Arabidopsis thaliana: one gene and its partner. The protein of the gene in region 1 interacts with the protein of each later gene in a biochemical or structural test. Each region holds a gene or a part of one and is shown on either strand. Other genes may lie near its edges. The genes, in order: WRKY15 and CAM5.

Region 1 (4,287 bases):
CAAAGCCAAAGTACGTACTTAATTAAAATAAAAGTTAATTTTATATATAAGAATTATAAATTTACAACTTAGAAGACACGAAGGGTTAGATTAGAAATAATGACCTAATGGAAAGACTAAAGTGGAACAAAAAGACACGTAAGTGTCTCAATGGTCCAAATCCAATTTGTTTCGTCCTTCACAAGACTACAAACCTATGCACATGTTCGAACATATGAACACGACAACTTCTCTTCTGCCACTTTGTTATTTTCTTTTTTTTCAATAAAAAAATCATTATCGATGGAAAATCTAATACACGGCATCAAGATTTCTCCTAGGATTTGAAGAAATTGTACGCGTAACCTAGAATAAACTATACGGTGCTCTAAGTCAAGATTTTCAAAAGATTATCAACATTTCATCAACAACAAATACTTTTTTTTTCTTAATTTATTCAATATTTCCTAAAAGAATTTCTTAGCTTGTAGTCTTGTAATAAGTTATACTAAAGTGAAAGAGGAGATGATATTTTTAGGAAATTGTTATAGTAAGTCAACCCAAGTTATTTTTGTTATTGTGTTGTTTATGTCTTTTTGGTATCTAGTAGGATGTTTAATGACTACGTAAACTTTTCCGAAATTATAATTAAGAAAGAAAAAAAAAGTTGAAAAAGAAGACCACTTATGGTCAAATACAACAATGGTCAAACACGACAACTTTGGTCCCCAAATCTCTTTCTAATCCTTTGACCATTTTCACATGTCCCATCTCTTTTACCTTACTTTTCAACTCCACCCCCAAACTTTTCTCTTCTTTATTAAATGACATCAAATAACTAAAAATGAAAAATAAACCCTTCAAATTGCAAGTAACAAGTAAACATGATGAATATATCACAATTTATAATTTAACAATCCAAAAAACTAACAAATCGAAATTTAGCAAAAGCTTTTTGATTTTGATTACATTGATTTCATTCATAGTTTGAGTACTTCACTAAGTAAGGATCTAAATTTATATTATAAAAGCCTTAAATAAAGATTTGTTCTTTTCAAGACGATTCCAAAATAAGATCAGCAACGGCGGCTCCGGCGAGATCAGCGGCGGAGAGAGAATGATTATGATCTCCTTCATAAGTAACAATCAACATGGACGAATCATCAGCTGCTCTCTCAACATGTTTACGTGCTGGACAACCTCTTACGCTACTACACTTATAATATCCTCTGTTTTCACAATATCAAGAAACAGAGCACAATCAATTTCACCATAAAGTTTCGATTTTTATTAAGATACTGTAATTGAAAATTGTACTTTTTATAGTTTACCTTGGATGTGGAGATCCTTTAATTGGTTTTTGTCCGTATTTCCTCCATGAATAATCGTCCGGTGGTACATCGGACATTTTTGCACTTATCGCCGGAACCCTAATTATTCTCCTCTGTTTTATCTTTCTGAAAAAACAGAGCAAACAAAAGAAACAATTTTTAGATACCAAATCTATGAACTTTTATAGTTGGGTCGAATCTAAATACCAAATCTAATAAAAATTTACCTTTTCTTCGAGCAATGACAACGACCGGAGGAAGAAGCGGAAGCGCATTTTCCGGTGAGAAGATTCTCAGAGTTACATTTTCTCTTTGTTGATTTTGAGAAAGACGAGACCGTCGTGGAGAGGCTTTGAGTTTGAGACGCAAACGGCGCCGTTTCAGAGGGACGTTGATGATGATGAATCTTCTTCTGGTTGTCTGATTCCGTTGTTACAGAGGAGAGAGATGAGAAATCAATCGTTTTCATCGATGAAGAAAACGAACCTTTTCGGATCATTTGCGGCGGAGGAGGAAGAGGAGACTGAAACGGCGTCGTTTTTGGTTCTTCTTGTAAAAGAACCGGAGAAATAACATGAACCGGAGCACGTCTAAACCGGGCGTGTCCGGTTCGAGTTCGATCTAAGAGAGATATGACTCTTTTAAACTTTGAAACAGCCGCGTCCGCCGTTGTGTTACGAGCTGATTCAAGATCTGCGGCGGCGGAGGCGGAGGCGGAGGCGGAAGAAGAAGATGGCTGATCAGAGTTAAAGCTATCACGAGACATTAAACCGATGAAATTTTCGATACTTTTGAGTCCTGAAGCAGCTGCTTCTTGAACGGCGAAGCTATCAGCTCCGACGCCGGAGATGTAATTCCGAGTCATGAGCTCCACCGCCATAAAATCTCTCTCTCTACAAGGAGAGAGTTGTGGACTTTATGGGATTCGAGAGGACTAAAGTAAATAAGAGAACAAAAATGAATAAAAAATTTGGTATTTAAAGTGATGTAATTTGTATGGTAGGTGACTGACTAATGTGTCACGGTTTAGACTTTTCCTATGTTCATAAATAGTCTTTTTTACTATTCAATTTTTGTTGTTAAGAGTCAACTTTTTCTTTTTTTGTTAGATTCGAAAAGTCAAAGTTTGTACAAAATTAGAGGATTCAACCTTCACGTGTTTGTTGCAACGGTAGTGATAAGTCTTGATCATCACTATTTTTAAAACGTTTACGAGCATATTTGCATACATGTTCTTTACTTAAAAACCAAGAGAACTCAATACATTTTATTTTATTTTACTATACACCACTATCCCATGAGCTTTGGCAAACTCTAATCTTTTGTCGAGATAGAAGAATCAAGTCTTTATTAGATGAGTTGTTGTAACAATTTGTAACACCAACAATTTTTGATACAATTCATTTAAGCACCAAAACATTTGTAATGCCTACAATTCAATGTTTTTGAAAGAGCTTTGGAAAAAAACTTTGTGAGAGAACTTACAAACTCACATCTTGTTTTCTTACAACTATAGTGATTAAAGCTGTCCAAAACTCCTTATTAAACTGCTAGTCATCCGTTTAGACACAGTTAAACACTTTTGTACATATTTTTACTCTGATTAACCAATTATACATTTCATCGAAAAAACTTTATTTTTTTCAAAAAAGTTTTTAGAACAAATGAAGTATTACTACTTCGTATATAATCTAGTAATTTGTATTAGGATGAAATTATCTCTATTCTGGTTTAATTAGTACATTAGACTCATTTTTTACTCCACTAAAGAAAGAGATGTCCAAACTATTAGGCTAGAAGATGAACAAACGGCTAAACCACTAACTTAATCGCTTTTCGACATTATTCTAATTTTTCTTGTTCTAGTATTTTTTTTTTTGTCGGCATTTTTCTTGTTCTTTTCGTCGACACTATTGTAATTAAACTTGATAAAATACATGTTGTTAAGATGAATGAAAAAGAAAATGTTTTATTTTTTATTTTTATGGAGAGACAAATCAAGATAGGTGTGATGATAAGAGTCATAACGGACGAAAAAGAAGAGAGAGGATCGAGTCAAACTTTCGTCGTCAGCCGTATGATCTGGTTTCGAAGTAGGACCCAACAAATTTAACTTAAATCGCAGAAGTTTTTGTCGTCGCCAGCTTAGTGGAGTTGACTTTTCGTCAACATCCTCTTTGTTATTTTTGTTCATTAATTCTTTGGGCTTTATTTACTCTACTTTTATTGCTTCTTCTTCACTAATCATGGTTTAGGTTGGTTGTTGTACAACCATATTTGTTAAAAATGAAGTCTAATACAATATCTATGCCGATATCATTTTAGAGTAATTTCTTGTTACAAATTAAGTTTAAATCATAATGTCGGCGATCTGCCTCCTCCGCCTCTCCGTTTGCGGCACTCCTTGCCGGCGAACGGGGAGGGCTCCTCCTCCTCCCTCTTTGTTGTCTTTGATGTTTCTCCTCCTCTCGTGCTCCATCGTTTTGTTTCAGATTTCGATTGCCCATCGTCTCTAGTTGGTGGTGCGTGGTGGGTTTCTCCTTTCTGCGGTGGTTGTGGCTCTTGATGAGACGTTTGGGTTCGTTGGACCTCCTAGCGACGGGATTCTTCTCCGATCTAGAAATCAGGTGGTGCATCGCCTTAGTTTTGTTTTTTCTGCTCTTCGTAAAGCCTCCTCGATTCTTCATCGTTTTTGCTCGAAGTTGGAGCTTGTGGTGTCTTTTGTTGTTGTTGTTTTGTACTTAGACAACAGTGATGTTATGCGTCATGTCGGAGTGGAGTCTTAAGGGAAGAATAGAGGCGGCGCGTTGGTCTTCGAGGCATCATTTATCCGTGGGAGATGGTTCCTATTGTTTTGATAGGAATGGTGACTGAAGGTAGTTTCTTTGGTTATCCCTGTAACCGTCGGATTTGTGTTTTAGTCCTCTGTTGTCTTTGCGTTTTTGCGTTAGTTTGCGGAGAAGCTGTAGGCGCTTTA
Region 2 (5,134 bases), 1.6 Mb from region 1:
AAATTGAAGTATCATAGAGAAAGGGAACAATTAGTTGCATCTGACCAAAATATTCAACCGATTAATATACGCGATGGATTTTGTTTTCCGATATCGGTTGTTGCCATGTTAAATTCAAATTGGTATAAGTGTTTAATGTTTGATGCTAAGTGACACAAAGTGTTTCAATGCATTTGGTGTTATAAACTAGTATTTGGATATTATATTCTTAATCATAAGTTTTCTTAACGAGAGGCTTTTCGAATTCATGTACAATTTGCATTTCTTGATTTATTATGAAAATACTTAAATAGCAACTGATTAGAAAGACTTTTAAGTTTAGGTTTAGTTCCTAAAAAAGTATTTTCTTTGTTTTAATTGTATTATCATCTCACAAGAATTAGACCATATGCCCGCCCACATTGTTGATAGATAGCAAATGCCTAACGCCTAAATCAACTGATAAATTATAACAGTTAGATCGCCAGAGTATTAGTTAAAGTCTCCTAATATTGGTCGTGTATCTTTTCTGAGTTTTCTCTTGCTAATATCTTAAAAACATTGTGATAGTGTTTCTGTACTAGTGCCACCGTCGTATCATAACTCGGATTTAGTGTTGTCGCTATATACTTGGATTCAAGTTTGATAAGTGTGCGTATGTTGTAGACGAAAATTAAACATTGTGGTAGATAGGAAATGCCTAAATGAACTTACTATATTGATAGTACTTTAAAACTTTTTATATAACAGTATAGTAAATATTTAACATATTCAAACAAGATATGACATTTAAAATCCGTTTAATGGGTGTGAGAGGTACAAATCTCTTATTGCACACAAACATATAAAGAAAAGGAATTAAGAAGCAAATGGTCGGAGCTCAGAGAATACGGCAGTGACTTTTCCGGCGACCATTCTTTTCTTTGTATTCAGCAGAATTGCTACTACGCTTTGCTGCCATAACTCTCTTCCCTCTTCTCCTAATAAATTACACACATTTTAAAATAATTAGGTATCAAGATTTTCGATAATATTTAAAAGAAAAAGAAGAAACTAAGCCTTGTAACAAAAAAAAGTAAAAATAAAAAATACTGGTTACCAACAAAAAAGTTCAGTCATAATTAAAGGTTTGGAGATTCTCATTTCATCTATCTAGCTTTTGCTACTTACCATCCATTTTTGATTTTATTCCCCAAAACATATCTGCCTTTTAATTTAAACAATTACGTTCTACCTCACGAATAACTACTGTATGCATACACCACTTTTTATATGTTTTTGTTAAAATGTAGAATATATTGAATCAAGAAAAACACGAATGTTATTTACAAAGCTGAAAGTTGAAGTGGGGAAAAAGAGAACTGAAGCTTGAAAACTTTTGAAAGAAAAAATGAAATGGAAGTTATGTTTTTCTTTAACCCTTTTTCGTATTTCCTAAATTTTATCTCTTGTTTTAATCGTTACAAATGATAATACTTTTTTCTAACAGTTTACTTATTTTCTTATATGAACCGTAAAATAAGAAAAACATATTTTAATTTGACTCAAATTATATGGATTATTGCCAACATTCCTCTAAAAAATAGGGGAATTTCCAAATTGACCAACAATTTAAAAATAAATAAAAAATTCTAAGCTTTTAAAACTACCGATATAATGTTTTCAGACATTTTTCCTACAAATTTTAATCACACAAATAACCCTTTTTTTTTTTAACAAACATTGCAAACTATAAAATACAATAAAATAAAAAAGTACTAATACCAAGAGATAGCTTTTTCAACGACCATTACAATGGTACTTCACATAATATAAAATAAACTAAAAACTTCCAAACAAATAATTTAACCCAAAGTCACAAAATAGTTCATAACATGAAATTTGGGACGAATGCATAATAATGAACAGTCAAACATAGAATAAAGCAATAATCAGAGTTGTTCAATTCAAAAAAAGAAAGAAAGAAAAAGAGAGAAAAGATATGAGAATAGTTTCCTCACTTTGCCATCATAACTTTGACAAACTCTTCATAATTGATCTGACCATCTCCATCAACATCAGCTTCTTTGATCATCTCATCAACTTCTTCATCAGTTAACTTCTCACCAAGATTTGTCATTACATGTCTTAACTCAGCTGCCGAGATGAAACCGTTCTGGTCCTTATCGAAAACCCTGAAAGCTTCTTTGAGCTCTTCTTCAGAGTCAGTGTCCTTCATCTTCCTAGCCATTAGGTTCAGAAACTCAGGGAAGTCTATGGTTCCGTTACCATCAGCATCTACTTCGTTTATCATATCTTGTAACTCTGCTTCTGTTGGATTTTGACCTAATGATCTCATCACTGTTCCTAGCTCTTTCGTTGTGATGCAACCTAAACACAAAACCACACATTTCTCTCAAATCAGTAACAGATTTTAACACCAAATCTTCAAATTTTCATTGTAATTTACTCTAATAACACACAAAATCTTCAAATTTCATTTTAGTTACTCTAACAACTGTATCAAATGAACACAAAATCTTCAAATTTCATTGTAACCTACTCAAATAACTGAATCAATTAAACAAAAAATCTACAAATGTCAATGTAATCTACTTCGATTATTGAATTCTAAGATTTGTGTCAATTCTAATCACAATTAGTAAAATCTGGAAGACTAAAACACGATTAAGTTAGAGATTATTATCGAGATAGATCCGATTGCGATTATAATTTATAATCAACGAACGATAAAGATATCATCAAATCTCGCGTTTAATGTTAATGTGAATATCCAGAGATTTTATGGACAACGAAGAGCATCAAATTCCTAAAGCCAAGACTAAGTGATACTCAAAACACCAAAAAAAACGCAAGTGAGTCTATTATGAATGAAAATTATACAAAAGAGGAAAGATCTGAGAGAGAAGAACCATCTCCGTCTTTGTCGAAAAGGCTAAAAGCTTCCTTGAACTCAGAGATCTGATCATCGGTGAGCTGATCTGCCATTTTTTGGTTTAGATGAGAAAGAGAGAAGAAGAAGAAGAAGAAGAATCAACGTTGGTGTGTGTAATGAGAGGATTGTTGTGTGGAATTATAAAGAAGGAAAAAGAAAAGGCCCATTAGGCCCAATAACAATAATTTCGAATCTGATTCTCTTTTTTATTCTTCTTTTGTTTTGTTCTCCACTGGGCCTTATTGTGTTTTCAATTCGACTAGCTTTACTTAAGAGGGAGGTGATGTATATATTCCCTTGTGAAAAGAAATAGTATTGTTGTTTTGCCGACAACCATTTACATGCTTTGAATGGTTTAGTTCATATAAGTTACTGATCTTACCATGCGTACCAATACTAAGTATTCAACGAGTTGGTAGAATGGGATTACTAGTGATATAAAACGGTAAAAAAGGTTTAGCTTTGTGTTTACCATGGATTTTAAACTACTTTTTAATTAAGTTAACCAAAGAAAAAGTTTTAGCATTATAAGAAAATTTAGAAATAGTAGTACTTTTTATTTACTGTTTTTGTAATTAATAATCATCTAGGAGTTAGGACAAAAATCACTACTTTGTTGTTGGAAGGGTCACCTAATGGGTAGTTAAGCATCATGACCTTCACTTAAAGATTTGATATTAAACAAGATCCAGTTTTCGCAAAACTGTCATACTTTTTTGATCGCCACAACTATGTCTCTCAGTTTGGCTAGAGATGTAGTAAAAAACAAACTTATTGTATCCATCACAATTATAGGTAATTTACTGTCTTGGTTTTAAAAACATGTAATGTTGAGCATCCCAAAGTTTGTGTGTCCCAATGCTAGAGCATATTATAGTCTTACCTCTAGTGAGTTCATAAAGAAGTGTTGTATGATCATATATTTTGTTGAGTAAGAGAAATATTTCTTTCTTCCTCATGTGGTTGATTATTCAAAATTATACAAAAGAGGAAAATCACTTAAAAATATTCACGATACCGTTAAAAGATTACCAAAGAATGGGCCAAATCATAATATTAATAAAGCCCGTTAATAACCGAATCGACCCACCCGACAAAACAACCCGAATCGTTTTAATATCCAACCCGGAGTCAGACGGAGCTCCAAAGATTTGGCTTGTCTCTGGCTTGAGAACAAAGAAAACCCCTTTCTTCGATCTCAGCTTAAATCACTCGACGAAGAAGAAATCAGAAAAGAGTCAGAGAAAAAAAAAATCAAGGAAGATGAGTAGCATTGGAACTGGGTACGATCTCTCCGTCACCACTTTCTCTCCCGATGGCCGTGTTTTCCAGATCGAGTACGCCGCTAAAGCTGTCGACAACAGTGGGTTAGTTGGCTTTATCTTCTTCGATCTTCGCCCTTTAGTAGATCGGATTTAGCTTCTGAAAACTTTGAGATTTTGGTTATCGACACGAATTAGGGTTTGTTAAAAGTCTTTCCCTTTTTTTTTCTTCGCAGGACTGTTGTTGGAATCAAGTGCAAAGATGGGATTGTTATGGTTTGATTCTTCCTCCTTCCTCTATTGATTTTTATACTACTTTGTCACTTTCTTCAGTGGGTTTAGTCTCTCGTGCTGTGATTTAACCTTGGAATGAAGTATTCACATTTTTGTTATCAGAATTGTAGATTTGATGTAATATATACCGTGTAAATTTTGACCCAAGATGACACATTTTACAGTCCCTTAGTTTCATTTCCTGTTCGATATGTTGTGAATCTGTTGTTAGTTTTGGGTTTTGTAAGATTTTACGCAGATTTTTGATAAAGGAATGGTCTTGCTAAGTGTTTATCATTTGGTGGTTTTTAGGGAGTTGAGAAACTTATTGCATCAAAGATGATGCTACCAGGTTCCAACAGGAGAATCCATTCTGTTCATCGTCATGCTGGCATGGTATGTTTTTTTCTCCTAAACTATAGGAAATTAGTTTCTGCTGAGGATATGTATCTTTCAAGTTTTTTGTAACTACTATTGTGTCTAGTCTCGTAGTATATTGTTTTGTTTCATGATTATGGGTATTTCTACTTCTGTCATGTCAGGCTGTTGCTGGGCTTGCAGCTGATGGGAGGCAAATTGTTGCGCGTGCTAAGTCTGAAGCACGAAGCTATGAGAGGTATCAATGAAAACATCAGTAGCTTATATCTAAGATTTATTATTATGAAAGAACTGTTCAACTCCTAAA

Evidence for each region.
Region 2: the proteins of WRKY15 (region 1) and CAM5 form a complex in vitro, tested with the Arabidopsis thaliana proteins (one study listed by BioGRID).

Annotation. Positions count from the first base shown.
Region 1 is NC_003071.7:9,922,901-9,927,187, reverse strand, and holds WRKY15 (WRKY DNA-binding protein 15), read right to left. Parts: upstream 2,303-4,287; 5' UTR 2,191-2,302; coding exon 1,538-2,190; intron 1,437-1,537; coding exon 1,311-1,436; intron 1,209-1,310; coding exon 1,034-1,208; 3' UTR 816-1,033; downstream 1-815. Other genes in the region: AT2G23321 (uncharacterized protein), read right to left, coding at 670-810. UniProt on the Arabidopsis thaliana protein: Transcription factor. Interacts specifically with the W box (5'-(T)TGAC[CT]-3'), a frequently occurring elicitor-responsive cis-acting element.
Region 2 is NC_003071.7:11,529,902-11,535,035, reverse strand, and holds CAM5 (calmodulin 5), read right to left. Parts: upstream 3,070-5,134; 5' UTR 2,968-3,069; coding exon 2,892-2,967; intron 2,350-2,891; coding exon 1,980-2,349; coding exon of another isoform or gene 1,976-1,979; exon of another isoform or gene 1,752-1,975; intron 960-1,751; coding exon 860-959; 3' UTR 678-859; downstream 1-677. Other genes in the region: PAG1 (20S proteasome alpha subunit G1), read left to right, coding at 3,872-4,281, 4,413-4,452, 4,762-4,845, 4,992-5,065. UniProt on the Arabidopsis thaliana protein: Calmodulin mediates the control of a large number of enzymes, ion channels and other proteins by Ca(2+). Among the enzymes to be stimulated by the calmodulin-Ca(2+) complex are a number of protein kinases and phosphatases.